Linked DNA regions of Lepisosteus oculatus. The protein of the gene in region 2 binds, or shares a complex with, the protein of the main gene of each other region. Links are inferred from orthologs where the notes say so. Each region holds a gene or a part of one and is shown on either strand. Other genes may lie near its edges.

Region 1 (7,386 bases), on a different chromosome or scaffold from region 2:
AGACGTGCAGTAATATTAGAGAGGACGTTTGACAAAGAATATGCACGTCTCAGTCTGATGCACTTCTGGTGTACTCGGGTGCCATCTGTTGTGGAGAGCACAGAGATTGGTTACAGATCATATACGTTTATCACTTGTTTTATCAGTGTGTCTTTTGTGTACTTTAGCCTGTCTGTGACAGACCCAGAGATCAGAATCTTTCTTGTTTCTTGCCTGTGAACTGTTTTCAAACCTATAAATACAGGAGCCTTTTGTCCTAGATGACCAAATCGGAACACAATATCCTAAATGAGGATTTATTAGTGCATTCTAAATTTGAGCATAACGTCCCTGGCTTTAAATGTCACACTTTTGCTATATACCTGTACATGCTGTTTGATTTTGATTCCCCACTTTGATGTGATGAAGACATATAAGAATCTGCAAGAACACCTAGATTCCTTTCATGCAGACTATGCACTGTGTGAAAATTAACATTATTATTCACAAATGTTAAAGATAAATTTAAGATCTAACATCAGAGAGGAAAGGCAAATGTGTACTTAAGTGCTGTGCAAGTTCTTTTTGGGGAGGCTGTGGTAAGGAGTATTTTTTTTTGTATCTCCTTCCAGATGGAAGAGGACAAAGATGGACAGTCACAGAGACGGTTTACCTGTAAATTCTGTGACTTCTCAGCTTCTTATACATATTATGGGCAGAAGCCACCCAACACCAGGGCCATTGTGTAAGTATAAGAAACAGTAGGTAACCTGAAGGCCTGTTGACATACAGTACAGTATAGCTGTAAGGTACATGTACTTGAATTAAATGCTTTGGTATTTTCCACAGTCTCCTTAAAAACGGATACAGTATTACCTATCTTCCTTCAGGGGTCCATTACTCTATCTGTATGAGATATGCTGCAACAGTTGTTTCTCCCCTACTTGAAGTGCTTCTTTCACCTTTCAAGGAGCAGTGATAAAGACTTTCCCCAAGTTCTAGTGAGCTAGAATTCAGCCCTCAAGAAACTTGACTAAAACAAATGTTTTGTAGAGATAATGCTGGTGGCTAGTTTTCTGCATCAATTTTGTCACAAGTTCTGTCAAACTGAGAATCAGATGGTAAATAAATGTACTGGATATGACAGACTTCACTCAAAAAACCAGCATGCATTTCATTGATTGTAAAGTGCTGTATATTGGAATATTCTTACAATGCTTTTTTTCCTGTGACAATAAAATTGTAACAAAATGCGGGTACAATGGATTTGAACATATAAGGACAGTTTTAGTGTGCTACATATCAAAAGTGCAGAGTAATTGTAGCTCCTTCCCGAAAGTGCAGGTTTTTTAGCTACACAGTTTAGCTATGAACTTCACTTGGTTTGTTGTGGGTGTTTTTTTGCTTTGCCAATGCCACTTTGTGTCTTTTTTTCCACAGTCTTCTGGAGGAGTGCTTTGTAACGAAGGATCCCTTTAGTCCCAACAAGGAGAAATTCTTGGTTTTAGGATCACATTGCAGTCTGTGCGGCAAAACCGTTTGTGTTGGGACGGTACGTTTCAATAGCCTTTTAAGTGTAAATAATACTGAGGGAAGCTAATATTCATTTCCTATGCTGTACTTTGAAGAGGTGCCGTTGGGATATTTTCAGCCAATGTTTCTTGTTTTATGTATTATGAGAATGACCTTTCGTTAAATCCTTTTCACCAGACTTTAAACAGGATTTTCGTTTACTGATTTTTCTAGAATTGCTCTAAGAGGAACAGCATGTGAGAGGAAACTAAATATTGTGTCTTTGAATTGACCCTTATGAGTGAACAATCAAATCACAGAAACGTTTTCCTGAATTTATTCCTGAATATGGTTACCATTCAGATTTTAACCGCAGCTTTGTAGGTTAACTTTTCAATTAAATCTAATTTCTAATGGGAAAAGAGGAACTGGCTGCTGTATACAGAGTAGCTACTGTAGATACAGGTGGACTACGCTTGGCTATATAGTAGAAACTGCTGAAATCACCATGCAGGACTGAAAGTCATGCTCAGACTGTCTTGAGCATTTGGATGACTTGAACAGTGTTCATATCTGGCCACCACATTGAAAAATGAATGTCACCTGAGAAACGTTTTAATGTGTGGAGAGTTTAAAAGAACATAATTGGAAATCTAACTTGTTTTTAACAAAGACGTTTTAGGGGAGATCTAATTGAGTGCTTTATTTCAGATTTCTGAGAGGGGCTGAACCCAGATCTTTCTTTAGGCTCAACAGAGTTTTGCTTGTGATATGTTAGGAGAGGAATGTGTGCAATTACTGGGATTGTAGCTCAGAGCTGTGTCATGGAAATCACATAGTTGATTATTCCAAATTGGAACGGTACACCAAAAATAATTGGTAGTTCTATCTTTTAAAAAAATACTGCACACAAAAACTAAATATATTTTTTTTAATTACGTAGCTGTTATGTTCAATATGTAGCCGTATGTCTTCATCCATTTACTCATTTATCCTATAACTTACAAAATGTTGCTGCCTAAAAGATGATATTCAGCCCAATGTGTTAGGGTGCTGGTAGCTTATGGATCATAGGATTTCATACTCCACTTTCTTGAAAGACCCCAGTTTTAGCGACATGACAAGGCACCTTATTCAAGACACCAACCACTTTTTGTGTAAAAACGTGTCTGTGTTTTTCTCTATTGATTGTGTCCCACTTTCATTTTTGAGCATGAAGTAATGTATTAGGTTGACTTTGTCAGTACCTTCAGGATGTGGTGTATCTGCACCTCTATTCTTCTATTTTCAGCACTGAAGAGTTTCAGTACTTTTAAACTTTTTGTGTATATCCGTTTTTGGCATTAGAGGGTAATGCTCCCGGGGACACATTTCTGAGGTTACAGACCACATCGTAGTGATTGGCAGGTTATTCTCTTTTGCAGTGTTGATTTTATATTCATCAAGAATCTAATTCTTATAGAAAATACAGGACAAAAAAAGCCACTGTTAAAAACCACCCATGGAGCTGACCTCTGGTGCTTCTTTCCCAGGAGTGCAGCCTGTTCTACACAAAGCGCTTTTGCTTGTCCTGTGTCAGGGAGCACTTGGAAGAGTTTCCCCAGCAAATCCAGGCGGAGCTTAAAAAGAAGAAACAGGCACAGAAGACTCTAGTCACCCAGTGAACGCTGCTGGCAAAAAACTGGACTGGAAGGGAAGTTAAGGGAACTGACAGTTTATAGACTTCCACATTTGTTTAAACCCAATGTACACCTATGCACAGAAACAGTCGTGTTCTCTACTGTTTATATTTCCGTTAATACATAATGTGAAACAAGTATGCATTGGGTATGGATGGTTACGATGTGCTTGTCACTGGAAAATCCCTATAGTTTCTCTGAACATGGAATCTGAAAATGTGATGCCACTTTATGAATATTGAATTTAATATGAATATGTGCATTTATACTATGCATTAGGCTAAGCTGATTAATAGAAAAAGAAAATAATCGGTTTTATGGCCCAAACTGAAAACGAATGCAAATAAGTGGGCTTTTCTTTCTAGAGAAAATAAACATGTACATAACCTGACATGACTCGTGGTAGACTGCAGCTGAAGAAACCAAAATTATGTGGAGTATTGGATTTTAATTAAAAAGGTTATTTTTTTGAGGGAAGAATTGCTGTGGTTTGTACGTTCTTTCAATTACTGTATTTTCTTTTTTGGTTTCCGGAGCTTATTTTATGACGATGGTCAGTAAGCTACACGTTTCTTTTGTCTTCTGTTGATCCGAGTCCACTGGTCATTTAAGCTGGGTGAATTAATAAGGTTAATAACCGTAATAAGAAGAAATAGCACTATACAGTTTTGAATCGAGCTATGTAGGATTTAAATAATGGTGGGGGTATATTAGTAAAATACAAGTGAAACAGAAAAAAAATAAGATTAAATTGTACAAACCTTTTTGAAGGGCCTGGTGGACGGTATTCAGAAAAGTAAAGGTTCACATGGAAGTTTCTTGTTTTTTATGTTATAAGGTGGGGGTGGAAGCGAGGTTCTGCAGTTTTTGAAAAAGACCGAGCATGAAACCCCATCCTGAGGAGTGGCCAGCAAAAGCTGAAGAAGTGATTGACGAATGGACTAAAACAGGAATACACTTGCAAAGCTTTTCTCTTTTTTTTCCATATGCAATCGTGAAGACCGGGTAAAAACTGAGCTTAATTCAATGTATTCTCTCCCTCTTTCGCAAGCCTAATATATATTACCTACTGTACATAACGTCGTTCTTTTCCCTTTCCAACTTTGCGCTTACCAAAGAAACTTAAAACGAGGAGATGTACCCCAAAAATGGGAACTTTAGACCGAATTTAATTTAATTTAATGTTAATACGTTGTTACTGCGTGTGTTGTGCGGTCTTTTCCTCACTCGGCGAACTGAAGGAGCATCCTAACGTGCGTCATCAGTCTCAAGAGGTCGCGCTGCGCTCTTGTCTGCTCAGGTGTGACCTACTGTACGAGCTCGTGGCCACCTTTTTCCCAATTCAAAATTAACGGCATCCCCTACCTGTAAGCAAATCTCTTTCAAAACCGAACTGTGATAAAGGCAAAAATACAATGACCTCTACCTTGACGTGGTGCTGTATGCTGTTGCTGTTTTACGCCCGTGTCCTCTCACAGCCTGGCTTCAATTCGCCCCCCTTTGAGATTAGGTGTGCGGACGAGGACGGGGAGGTGCACAGCAGAGCCGACACGGACGTTTTCGTCACCTGCCGACGCCGACAGAGCACGCAGATCCGCTTCAGCTCATGCAAGAACATAAAAGCCGACGCACTGCAGCCTCCCACCTGTGACTGGAGGGACCACGCTGCAGGATTAATTCATCGCACTGACCACTGGTCCGGGACTCTCACGTTGGCTCCAGACATCCAGGTAATCACCGTGACGTCCTGCACCGTGTCTTCCTGCCCTCCGACAGACTGCCGATTTAAAAATCTGACCATAAGGGTGATCGACCAACAGGTTGATTTTTTCCTACTGTCTCCAGCTCCACTGTACGATTTTGACAAAGTGCAGATTGGTTGGTGTGCTGAGATGAAAAGCCCATTATGGACCTACATGTTTCAAGCCCCAGGAGGGACTCCCTCACAGAAAATGATACAGAGTGACTGGTATGTTATAATTGACACCACTAGTGTCCCTGTTCACTTGAAAGGCAGATGCTCCAATAACTATAACTACATAGTAGAAGTGACTTACCCCAAGCCGGGCACGTATAGGGCTAAATTAATCAGTGAAGGAAATATCTTTGTCCTTGACATTCAGGTAAAATCAGGGCTAATCCCTATTTATAATGCAAAGAGTGAAGTGTTAAGTCTAAATGAAAGATTTCATGTTTTCTGGAAAGCATCAGACATTCAGAACATTGTCAGTTACCAATTGGAAGCCAGTGAAACCAACAGAACCTGGCTTGTAGACTATAGCAGCTATGTTTTGAGAAAAACCTCTTGTTTTAATAGTAGGAGATCAAACAGCCTCCTGCTCACCGACATTGTGCTGCAGAAGACCGCTTTCTTAGGCAATTTCAGTGGCGCCATCAGATTTTCAAGTGGCACTGCCGAACTCACTCTGAACACAACCTACACCAAACTGACCTTTGATCTTCAAACTAACCGGACCGTCCTGTATTTTTTCAGCAATTCTGATGACTTTTCCTACTACAAACAGGATAGTAGGGTTAATAATGTACTGCACATCATCTTCATCCAACAGCAAATCTTCCTGCACTTGATCAAATTCTGCTTCTCCTGGGACCAGCGTTATACTGTCAGTGTGCAAACGTATGTGAACAAACGGGACAGCCTGTACAAATCTGTGGGTGAATTTGGGAGTGGCTTTGACCTGTACCTGTATAACAGTCCGGCGCCACATCTAGACTTTACACAGCATGCAGTTTGGTTTGTGCCCACCCAGCATCCCCTTCTGCAGTGTGAATGGACATTCAAGCTGCAGGTGCTCTGTGCCTCAAGAACGTCACTCACTTCCACGTATTCTTACTCTGACCAACATCCAAATGTCCTCACCTTTCTTTCAGGTGCCGAGCCATCATGGGCGGCTGTAAATTACGTGGGCTTTGTTGCCAATGTGACTTGTTTTGACAGTGGAGAAAAGCCCCTAATTTTAACGGTGACATTTGGAAACCGTCCTGTAAAAATTGCAAGGTCCCTGGCATGCTTCAGTAGGAAGACCAGTGGGTGCTTGAAGGTACTTTTGAGGAAACCAGACCCTCCTGTTATACCTGTAAAAAAATCTCTCCAGTTTACTGTTTACTCTTCAGTGGCAGTATACTGTTCTTGTGTATTGCAGACTACATTCATCTGGAAAATATACAGAGTCGCTGGTGTCAGTTCAGTTCCAAAATGGGAAAATCCTCTGGCAGCACCATTCATTTCCTCAGCTAGCAAATCCTTCTTGTACATCCCAAAATGCTCTCTAGAGTATGGCATGTACATGATGAATCTTACGGTCAGCGTCTTTATACAAAATTCAAATCTAAATGTAACCAATACTGATTCACTTTTTGTGGATGTAATGAAAAGCCCTCTGAAAGCTGTCATTAAAGGAGGCTCATACAGAACTGTGGGTTTTAATGCAACTTTGGTATTGAATGGTTCACTGTCTGCCGACCCTGATGTAATGAACCCATTTGACGGTCTCCATTTCTCATGGTACTGTTCAAGGAAACCCATGGATCTTGAGGCTATGACACTCTCTCCGAATAACGCATGTCACCCGGACCAGTTTGAAATCAGATGGCCACCATCATCAAAAGCTACAGTTGAAATCATGCCTGAATTGTTGAAAGGAGGTGCTGTATATCATTTTCGTCTATCAGTTCAAAAAGATGGCAGGGAGAGTCATTTTAACCAAGCAATAAATGTTTTACCTGGACCACAGCCTGAAATTCAACTCTACTGCATTGAGAACTGTGATCAATTGCTGAACCCGTCAAATAGATTTGTGCTTTCCTGTGCTTGCATTTCCTGTAGCACTGACAGCCAGCCCAACGTTGAATGGTATTTATTGGCTGGTAAAAATGCAACTGAAATTGCAATTGATTGGGCAGCCAACACTACAACAGGAAGATTTAACAAATACCTTTCAATAAACGCTTTTGTGTTTCAGAAGAGCATAGGCAGCACATTTGAGTTGCAGGTCAAAGTAAGCACAAGGAGTGGACTCTCAAGCATGCAGAGGTATTTCTTCAGTGTTAATGAACCTCCTAAGATGGGAAACTGCCAAGTGATCCCCAGCAATGGTATCGCATTACTAACAGAATTTGTTGTACAGTGTTCAGGGTTTGTGGATGATAATCATCCTCTTATGTATAAAGTTAAAGCCTGTGTAGATGACTCCAA
Region 2 (7,813 bases):
CAAGATATTTAGCCAACAGAACTGAGGGCGGCTTGTCTTTGGCGTCTTTAATTAACTGCTGCTCACCTGTATGTGTCTGAACTGCTCGGTTGCCAATAACGTGGACACAGACAAAGCTGGAAATTAGGTTGTGTGACACACTCCAGTAATAAGCATTCCTATTAAACATTAATTATGCATGGGTTTAATTGAGAAGGGAGAGTGTTCTGATAATCAGTTCCTGGTACAGCGTTAATGCCAATTCTAGGTCCAATTACTCTGTTAAATTCTGAAATGGGTTATGAATAGGTCTATCCAAGGAAATACTGTAATCATTGGATAGGTTCAATTAGCCTGAGAATAGGCAGTGGACTGTAGGGACCTACCCTTCATCAGACAGATGATCCCACCTCATCGGCGCACTGGCGTTCCCTGTGTCATCAGCCCCAGGCTCCCAGTCCAGTCCCTTGTGTTCCAGTTTGTTTCACCTTCGATCCCAGTCACGTTTCACCAAGAACAGAGCAACATTCCAAAACTGCTGCTGGTTCACATGCATCACCCTGGAATTTGAGGAGACTTGTTTTTCCCCTTGTGACCTGCTGTTTTAACTTCTACCGACTATCGAATTCAAGACAAATCTATTTTCCAACAACAAACATTTAACTTATTTTTTTCTCACCAGCAGATCCTTCATGTCAACACTATGCAATTTGATATGATTTTATAACCTGTTTTGATGTGAAAAAAATGACTTTTTGATTTAAAAGCAGCATGGTTTATATCTAAAACAGAATATTCAACCAGACAGTACTTCTAATTTCGCCAATTACTTTTTTATTTAATTGCAATTACAATTACATTTTCGAGATGGGAAGTTTGAAACTTCCATATGGAAAAAAAATATTTTATCACATTCCGTGCAGGAAGCAATAGATGCTTTGCTTCCTGTCTGCAGATCCGTAAGTAATATTTGTAAAACAGAAGAAAGAGCTAGGTGATATCATCTATGTCTCTGCACTGCCACAGCTGGTCTTGCCTGAGGCTCTGTTGGCATTTTGCACGCGTAGCGTGGGTGATGGGAAACAGATTCCAGGAGACTTTTTGTTTGTGTTTTTCTTTACCATGTAAGCTGAATCAATCCGGGGAATAGCCTTACTGTGTCTACGAGTTTCAGAGGGAAAACTGCATTCCTGAAAGTGTTTCCCAGATGATATCAGCCGCATGCCCTCGCACAGAGCCATGCATGGACTTGAGGCTGTGACTGTCTGATTGCTCTGTCTGGGTATTTGAATGGAGCCTGATTTTCGCACAGTGGAGCCCTGAGGGTAGAGTCCTCCCCACAGGTGTATCTGATACCCCTACAAGCCTCACGATACCTTGTGATCCATTGGCAACAATGACAGAGTGTCGTTGAAAGAGTAATGTGTCCAGGAGTAGTGTAGATATTCATACAGCTTTACAGCTTATTATTATTGTTGTTGTTTTATTCTCTTTTTGTGTGTGCATTAATCTTTCTTATTAGATGTCAGTGATCGACTCATTCCTAACACTGTGATTCTCAACAGCTATACTGTGATATTTTGAATGCCTGTAACAGCACCAAGGCAAAGACTTTATGACAAAAGACATTCACTCCACTGGAATGTTGGAACAATGTGGCAGCAGAGATGTGTTCAAGAACAAGCTTTATCTTCTCTAGGTTATATTTCATTCCCAGGTTCAGTGTTTTGTTTCGAAAGGCTGCTCAACTCAGGTGCCCAGAGAGAGAGTTTGAATTTATAGCGCAGTGCGGCACTTAAAGGGACATTGAAAGCCATGAATTCTGATCTCATGTGTAAACACAGTGCAAGCTGTTGAATAGGCCACTTGTCAAGATAAGCAGTAATTTGCAAAGTCTTTGTGTAATTGAAAAGCAAACAGTAATGGGAAGATGTTGTCCTGTTATGCACTGCTGGGGGGCTTGATTGCTCTGGACAGGCCCGAAAGTCATCAGGAGGCTGGCAGGGGTGGACTTGTGGGAGAAGGGGGTGAGAAAGATCTGTCTGTGCTTTAGGTGTGTTTGCATTTTTATTAAAAACACACAACTTCTTTAGTAAACCCAAACTGGAAAAGCTACAGCTTATTCCTGAGGCATGCACCAAAGTGTGTTACTGCACATTGACATATGCTAGCTATTCATTGAAAAGACAGCAACTCTTCCGTTGAAGTAGGATGCGTTTTTATATGCTGAATATCCTTGAAAAGCTTTTAAACTGTTACTATTAAAGGGTTGCTCAGCTGACTGTAATGTTGGCAACTTTATGTTGGTAATGTTGTGTGGGAAACTCGTGGCTTTGGGTTCGATAAGCCAGTGGTGTCCATTAGGATACATTCTGCTGATTGTAACCAGAATCCCTGGTAAAATTGTTTGGAATGTTATTCGTCACCATAGCAACACTGTGGAGCTCCAAGGTAATGGATATGTAACTCCATTTCAGAAGAATGCCAGTAGCTATCTTTTAGATGACGTCATTCATCTCTGTATGCAAGATTCATAAAAGACAGTGAATTTGTGAACGACAGTGAAGTAATTGGCTTCATCGTCCAGCTGATACTCTCTTTAGTAAATAAATGTCAGGTATTCAATTTGGAAAACCCATCTTTGCATGTCGTAATGCTGTTTTGGAATGAGAGCACACCACCATTTCCTGTCTTATTCAAATTCATTTATAGTGTCAAAATCCTTTTCAGATCCTTTAGACATGCTGTACAATCAATATAGTGTTTCTGTGATGCACTTTAATTAACTCTTTCATGAGCTGTTATACTAGAGACGGTCATGTAATAGTTGAGAAATGTTTGAAATAAACAAGTTTTGTGAAGTGGCCAAATAAATAATTTCCAACTGACGTGTTTTTTTTTTCTTAAAGGGGAAAGGGTAATATATTGCATTCTTAATTTAACCAGTAAAAATATATTTTTTAATATAACAAACAGTGCTGATGTAGTGATGTGACCACGAACGTTTATAGCCTATTGCTTTGTGATTTATATTTATCTGTCTCCTGCAGTTACAGATTCAGTGTTGGAAACTTTTCCCCCCAGAGTTCACTCCGAGAGGGCTGCCTGAAGATGCAGCAATACGTCTTTGTTCACCAGCAGCAGCTGGATCGGACAGGTTGAGCCGTGGTTTTTGGAGAAGCAGGCCGATGATGACACGCTGGGAGAGTCAGCCCTCTCATGTCCTCTCAGCACAGATTCATTACAAAAGCTGTTCTAATCGTAGTGTACTCTCCCGGTACACTTTTTTGTTTTGTAAATAATCCACAGATAATTCTTTAATTCTATACAATAATACCAACAACTACATGCATTTTTCTAGAGCATTTCACCACGAACATATGGGCAGCACACAGCAGCCACTCTGCATCTGCTGGACAGGTGAGAAACGACCGCACTCAGTGAGTTAAGGAGGACATCTAGGGAGGCTAGATTGATCTGTCTCTGGAGCGCCGGTGTGGGTTCTCTTCAGTCCTGCTCTTGTGAGCCACACCCAGTCATTGGCTAAACCAAGCACCTCGATTTCACATCCCAGCTGGAAGAGGACACCTGCTCCTGCACATCGCTCCAGGTCACCAGACTGGGCCCCGGATGGGAGATTCCGGTCGAGAGGAAAGTGCGCCACCTGCTGGTCGGCCAACACCGCTTGCAGAAGTGACCCTCCCTCCCCCCGAGAAGCCTGCCAGCTCCTCACTGGGGAGGCCCAGCTCTGGAGATCAGCCTGAGGGTGGCAGTGCTGCTGTATGGCATCCTGGCATTTCCCACCTGACCAAAGGAAAAAGCTGAAGGAGAGGTTCCCACACTTTGGGATTGAAAGTTTTCACGGTAGAAGTTTGTATCTTAAAGTCAGCCAGCAGCCATGTCACCCTGCAGCTCAGCAGGTGTGAGCCTGGTCAGTATCTGGATGGGAGACCTCCTGGGAGGAGCTAAGGTTGCTGCTGGAAGAGGTGCTCGTGGGGCCAGGGGGGGGCGCTCTCCCTGCAGTCTGTGTGGGTCCTAATGCCCCAGTATAGTGACGGGGACACCATACTGTAAAAGAGGCCTGTCCTTCGGATGAGACGTAAAACCGAGGTCCTGACTCTCTGTGGTCATTAAAAATCCCAGGGCGTTTCTTGAAAAGAGTAGGGGTGTAACCCCGGCGTCCTGGCCAAATTTCCCATTGGCCCTTACCAAATCATGGCCTCCTAATAATCCCCATCTATGTTGTGGCTTCATCACTCTGCTCTCCTCCCCACTGAGAGCTGGTGTGTGGTGAGCGTTCTGGCGCACTATGGCTGCCGCCACACCATCCAGGTGGGGGTGCACACTGGTGGTGGTGGAGGGGATCCCCATTACCTGTAAAGTGCTTTGAGTGGAGCGTCCAGAAAAGCGCTATATAAGTGTGAGGAATTATTAAAGTCATTTTAAAACAAGTGTAAGGTTGATAGTGTAAGTCTAAAAGTAGACAACACACAGACAGAGAGAGAGAGCAATATTTGGCTAAGGAACAAGTAATAGGTTTATTCCCTGCTGAAAAGAGAAGGAAGAAAACAATACTTTGGCTGTGGAGCCTTCTTCAGGTAAATTGGATAATTGGATATTAAATCCGATAATCATTTGGATAATTCCATCTTGATTTGACTTGTAGATAAGACATTTGAGTTTACAGCAGAGCAAAGAGCTCTGGAGAGACCTCCCTCTGTGTGTGTGTGTGTTTGAGTCCTGCTCCGTTAGTGCCCCCGTCCAGCCCGAACTGCCCCCACTGGAGGTGCTCGCTGCCGTCCTGTATAACCCCACCGCAGGCCGGGGGAAGGAGAGCACAGGTCAGCACGATCACACGGGCTCTCAGCCCGGGCCGCAGCCCAGCTCAGAGGCTTCCTGTTTACTCTGGAGATCCTTCCCCCACCGTGAAACCTGAAGCAGCCCCGAGCCGCTTCGGTCTCCTGCACTGGAATCCACGACATGTGCCGTGGCGATTTCCGCGGCGATAAACACGCCGGCTCCCGCGCTCCGCCACGTCCCAACCCGCTCAGCCTTTCCGCTCCGCAGCTGCGGGTCCGAGCCGGACCGGACCGGGCCGGACCCGACCGCGGCCGCCGCTCACCGTGCCTGGTCTGGACTCGACGCCGGCAAGGTATGCCGACGAATCAGATCGATCGATTCGTTACAGTTGGGCTCAGCTGGAGACCGTCTTCCTAAAGATTGAACGTTTGCCGGAACATCCAGCGTTTTCCGCGATCACTGCGATTTTAAGGATCCTGACGAAGACTGGTCTTTAACCCCCCTCCGGAAAACAAACAAAAATCAAAAGAAAAGTATGTTTCAATAGCACACAGCTTCGCATCTTGGCGCGGTCCCTGGCATCTGCATACATACGGTAGATTCACACAGGAAACACCTCCTGGCCCGTGGAGACTCGCCGCGCGATCTCCGACACACCGCTTTCCGAAGCAGCTCCGGGAGGCGTCAGGTTTCCGAATTTCACACGCCTAGCCTTTTGCGAAGCAACGCGCATTAAAAAAAATCGGGCTGTTTTTGCGACAGTTGAGTGGGGATTGGGAAATATACGCGTCTTTGGGGTTCCAATTTTTTTTTGGGGGGGGGGGGGTCTGATTTCAAAGACTCTGGTCAGCTCTACACCTTGTTGTTGTTGTCCGCTGTAGAAAAGTGGCTCCACGCGCTCCTGGCTGGCCGGCCGGCTGAGCCCCCCCCGGTCTGCAGTCGGCACGCACCCCGAGGTCTCCAGCTGCTGCGCATTCCGGAGCTCGAGGGAGAGCGCGAGGGAGCAGCGCGGGCGGCGCAAGCGGACCGGCACCCGGCGCGCAGGGCTGCCCCCGGGGGCGTAGTGCGATGCCTCAGCGGCGCCGGACATCCCGCATCCCGGACTCCTGCCTGACACGGACAACTTTTCTGCGTGCGTGCGCACTTGCGCATCTGGATTTCTGACTGTTCTGGTCTTTTCCTTCTCCTGCTCGCTCCAAAATCCAAGAGCAACCACAACAGCAAGAATGCCTGACACTGACAGCTCCGTTTCCAAAACGGTAAGTCGCTATATGTTACCCGAGCAGGTCCTCAGAAGAGAATTGCTCTATCGAATTACGAACTGACCCCGTGGAAACGAACGGCTTTAAAAAAAAAAAAAGATTGATACCATAATTTTTAAGTTTGCAGTGGTGCATTTTTGTTGTCTTGTTTTTTGTTGATAGGTTAAAAGTTGAAGAAACGGTTGAAAGGTGTCCTTTATTGGGGTTTTTTTTGCGTGTTATCTAAAACTGGTTATTATGTTGGTGGTATGTCGTTAGGTATTGCATGCCGCTGTAGCCCAGACCAGGTCAGTTAGACGAGCCTCAGCGCGATGAAAGTCTGCTTTGTTGTGTCTGGAGCGCCTGTCACATGCGCCAGAGCGTGCATAATTAGAATTCCTCCGGAGCGCGGCTCAGGGGCGGACAGGGTGTCGGGGCGCTACAGAGCGCTGCAGGTGGGGCACAGGGACTTGGGCTCTACACCCGGCTCTGCTCCCTGTCAGATGTCAGGTGTCCGCGAAGCGCCGATCCACAATCGCCCATCTGTGCGATTCCACCCTCTCCCGAGCCGCAACCCACATTCACTTCACCCATAGCCTCAAGCGGGCATTTTCACATGGTAAGTTTCTGGTCTTCTTGTAAGTAATTATCCTGTCAGTCCACACTCGCGAAATAATTGAGCAGAAGCAAAACGTAATGGATAGCTTACTGCACATTCCTTGGAAGATATGCGAGCAAGCGATATCTCTGTTTCGACGATATCTCTGGCGACTGCGACAGTGCTGAATCTTTTAAAGGACCTATATTCAATTGTGAGGCTTTTTGAGGTGTTGTAAAGGACCTCACTGAAGGTGAAGTTCCTTTGATGGTTCAGGACCTGAGCTGAAACCTTGAATTCCTTCTGCCCTTCATTGCTTATCGTCACTGTGTCCAGCTCTGCTTTTACAAACGTCTCTGCCACCTGCTGTCATGCGTACAGCAGTGCGGTCATTGTTTTTTCAGATCGTTATTTCCAACCTATTAGACTGTTGGCTTTACTAGTGTGGTGGGCCGTAGGCAGATTTTGGGATTGCAGTGCTAAATGTCCTAAACCGGCACTGCTCTTGAATAGAGGACAGTTGTGCTCTAGCTGTTCATTAATATTAATAGATCTCACATCGAGCCTGAAGGCTGCTTGTGTGTGATTCAAGACATACAGCTGGACCCCAGCGGTTTCTGAGTGCAGAAAGACAACACAGGTGAGCTCCTACTGCCTGTATAGGGATTACTGAGTTCCCACAGACAGACTGGACCTCCACCAGATCTTTGGGCATTTGGTTTAAATTTGCTGGAGCTGATGAATACCTCTTCATTCTGTTTTGGCTCTCCATTACGCCACTTGTGATAATAACTTAGAGCGTTACAGCCTGCTTCCAGTTAAGGTGCTTTCAAGCAGAGCCCAAAAAGTAAATGTTAAGGGATCTAACATGCAAGGGAAGTCTTCCCCTGACTTACATGCGGTAGGAAAAGGAAACACTTTGAGGTCAAAGATTATCCAGTGTTAATTGAATTTTTTGAACATTTTCCTTTGAAAAATGAAAATGCAACTACTCTACCACTCTTTTCATTTAAAGAGATGTTCTGCCCTGTGTAAAAATTCCCTGTGAAGCAAAACAAAATCAATACACAGATATGGAACAATTTCAGCTGTTACAATTCACAGTAGTTTTACTTTTTGTAATTCCACATTTAATCAAGTTGTAAGAACATTTACAGGAAAGGTCCTCAAGTGTCTTTTCAGCAGAAACACTCCT

What was found.
Region 1: phldb2b (region 2) and erc1b share a complex: the UniProt entries of both Homo sapiens proteins name them as parts of the cortical microtubule stabilization complex. The link is inferred for Lepisosteus oculatus from reciprocal best matches to the Homo sapiens genes PHLDB2 and ERC1.

What each region holds. Positions count from the first base shown.
Region 1 is NC_090702.1:7,103,004-7,110,389, reverse strand, and holds the start of erc1b (ELKS/Rab6-interacting/CAST family member 1), read right to left. Parts: upstream 3,024-7,386; 5' UTR 3,004-3,023; intron 1,532-3,003; coding exon of another isoform or gene 1,420-1,531; intron 725-1,419; coding exon of another isoform or gene 612-724; intron 1-611. Other genes in the region: cdpf1 (cysteine-rich DPF motif domain-containing protein 1), read left to right, coding at 612-724, 1,420-1,531, 3,024-3,155; polycystin family receptor for egg jelly, read left to right, coding at 6,716-7,386. UniProt on the Homo sapiens protein: Regulatory subunit of the IKK complex. Probably recruits IkappaBalpha/NFKBIA to the complex. May be involved in the organization of the cytomatrix at the nerve terminals active zone (CAZ) which regulates neurotransmitter release.
Region 2 is NC_090700.1:5,141,341-5,149,153, forward strand, and holds the start of phldb2b (pleckstrin homology-like domain family B member 2), read left to right. Parts: upstream 1-4,799; 5' UTR 4,800-5,312; exon of another isoform or gene 5,313-5,660; 5' UTR 5,661-6,005; coding exon 6,006-6,038; intron 6,039-6,433; exon of another isoform or gene 6,434-6,636; coding exon of another isoform or gene 6,637-6,639; intron 6,640-7,813. UniProt on the Homo sapiens protein: Seems to be involved in the assembly of the postsynaptic apparatus. May play a role in acetyl-choline receptor (AChR) aggregation in the postsynaptic membrane.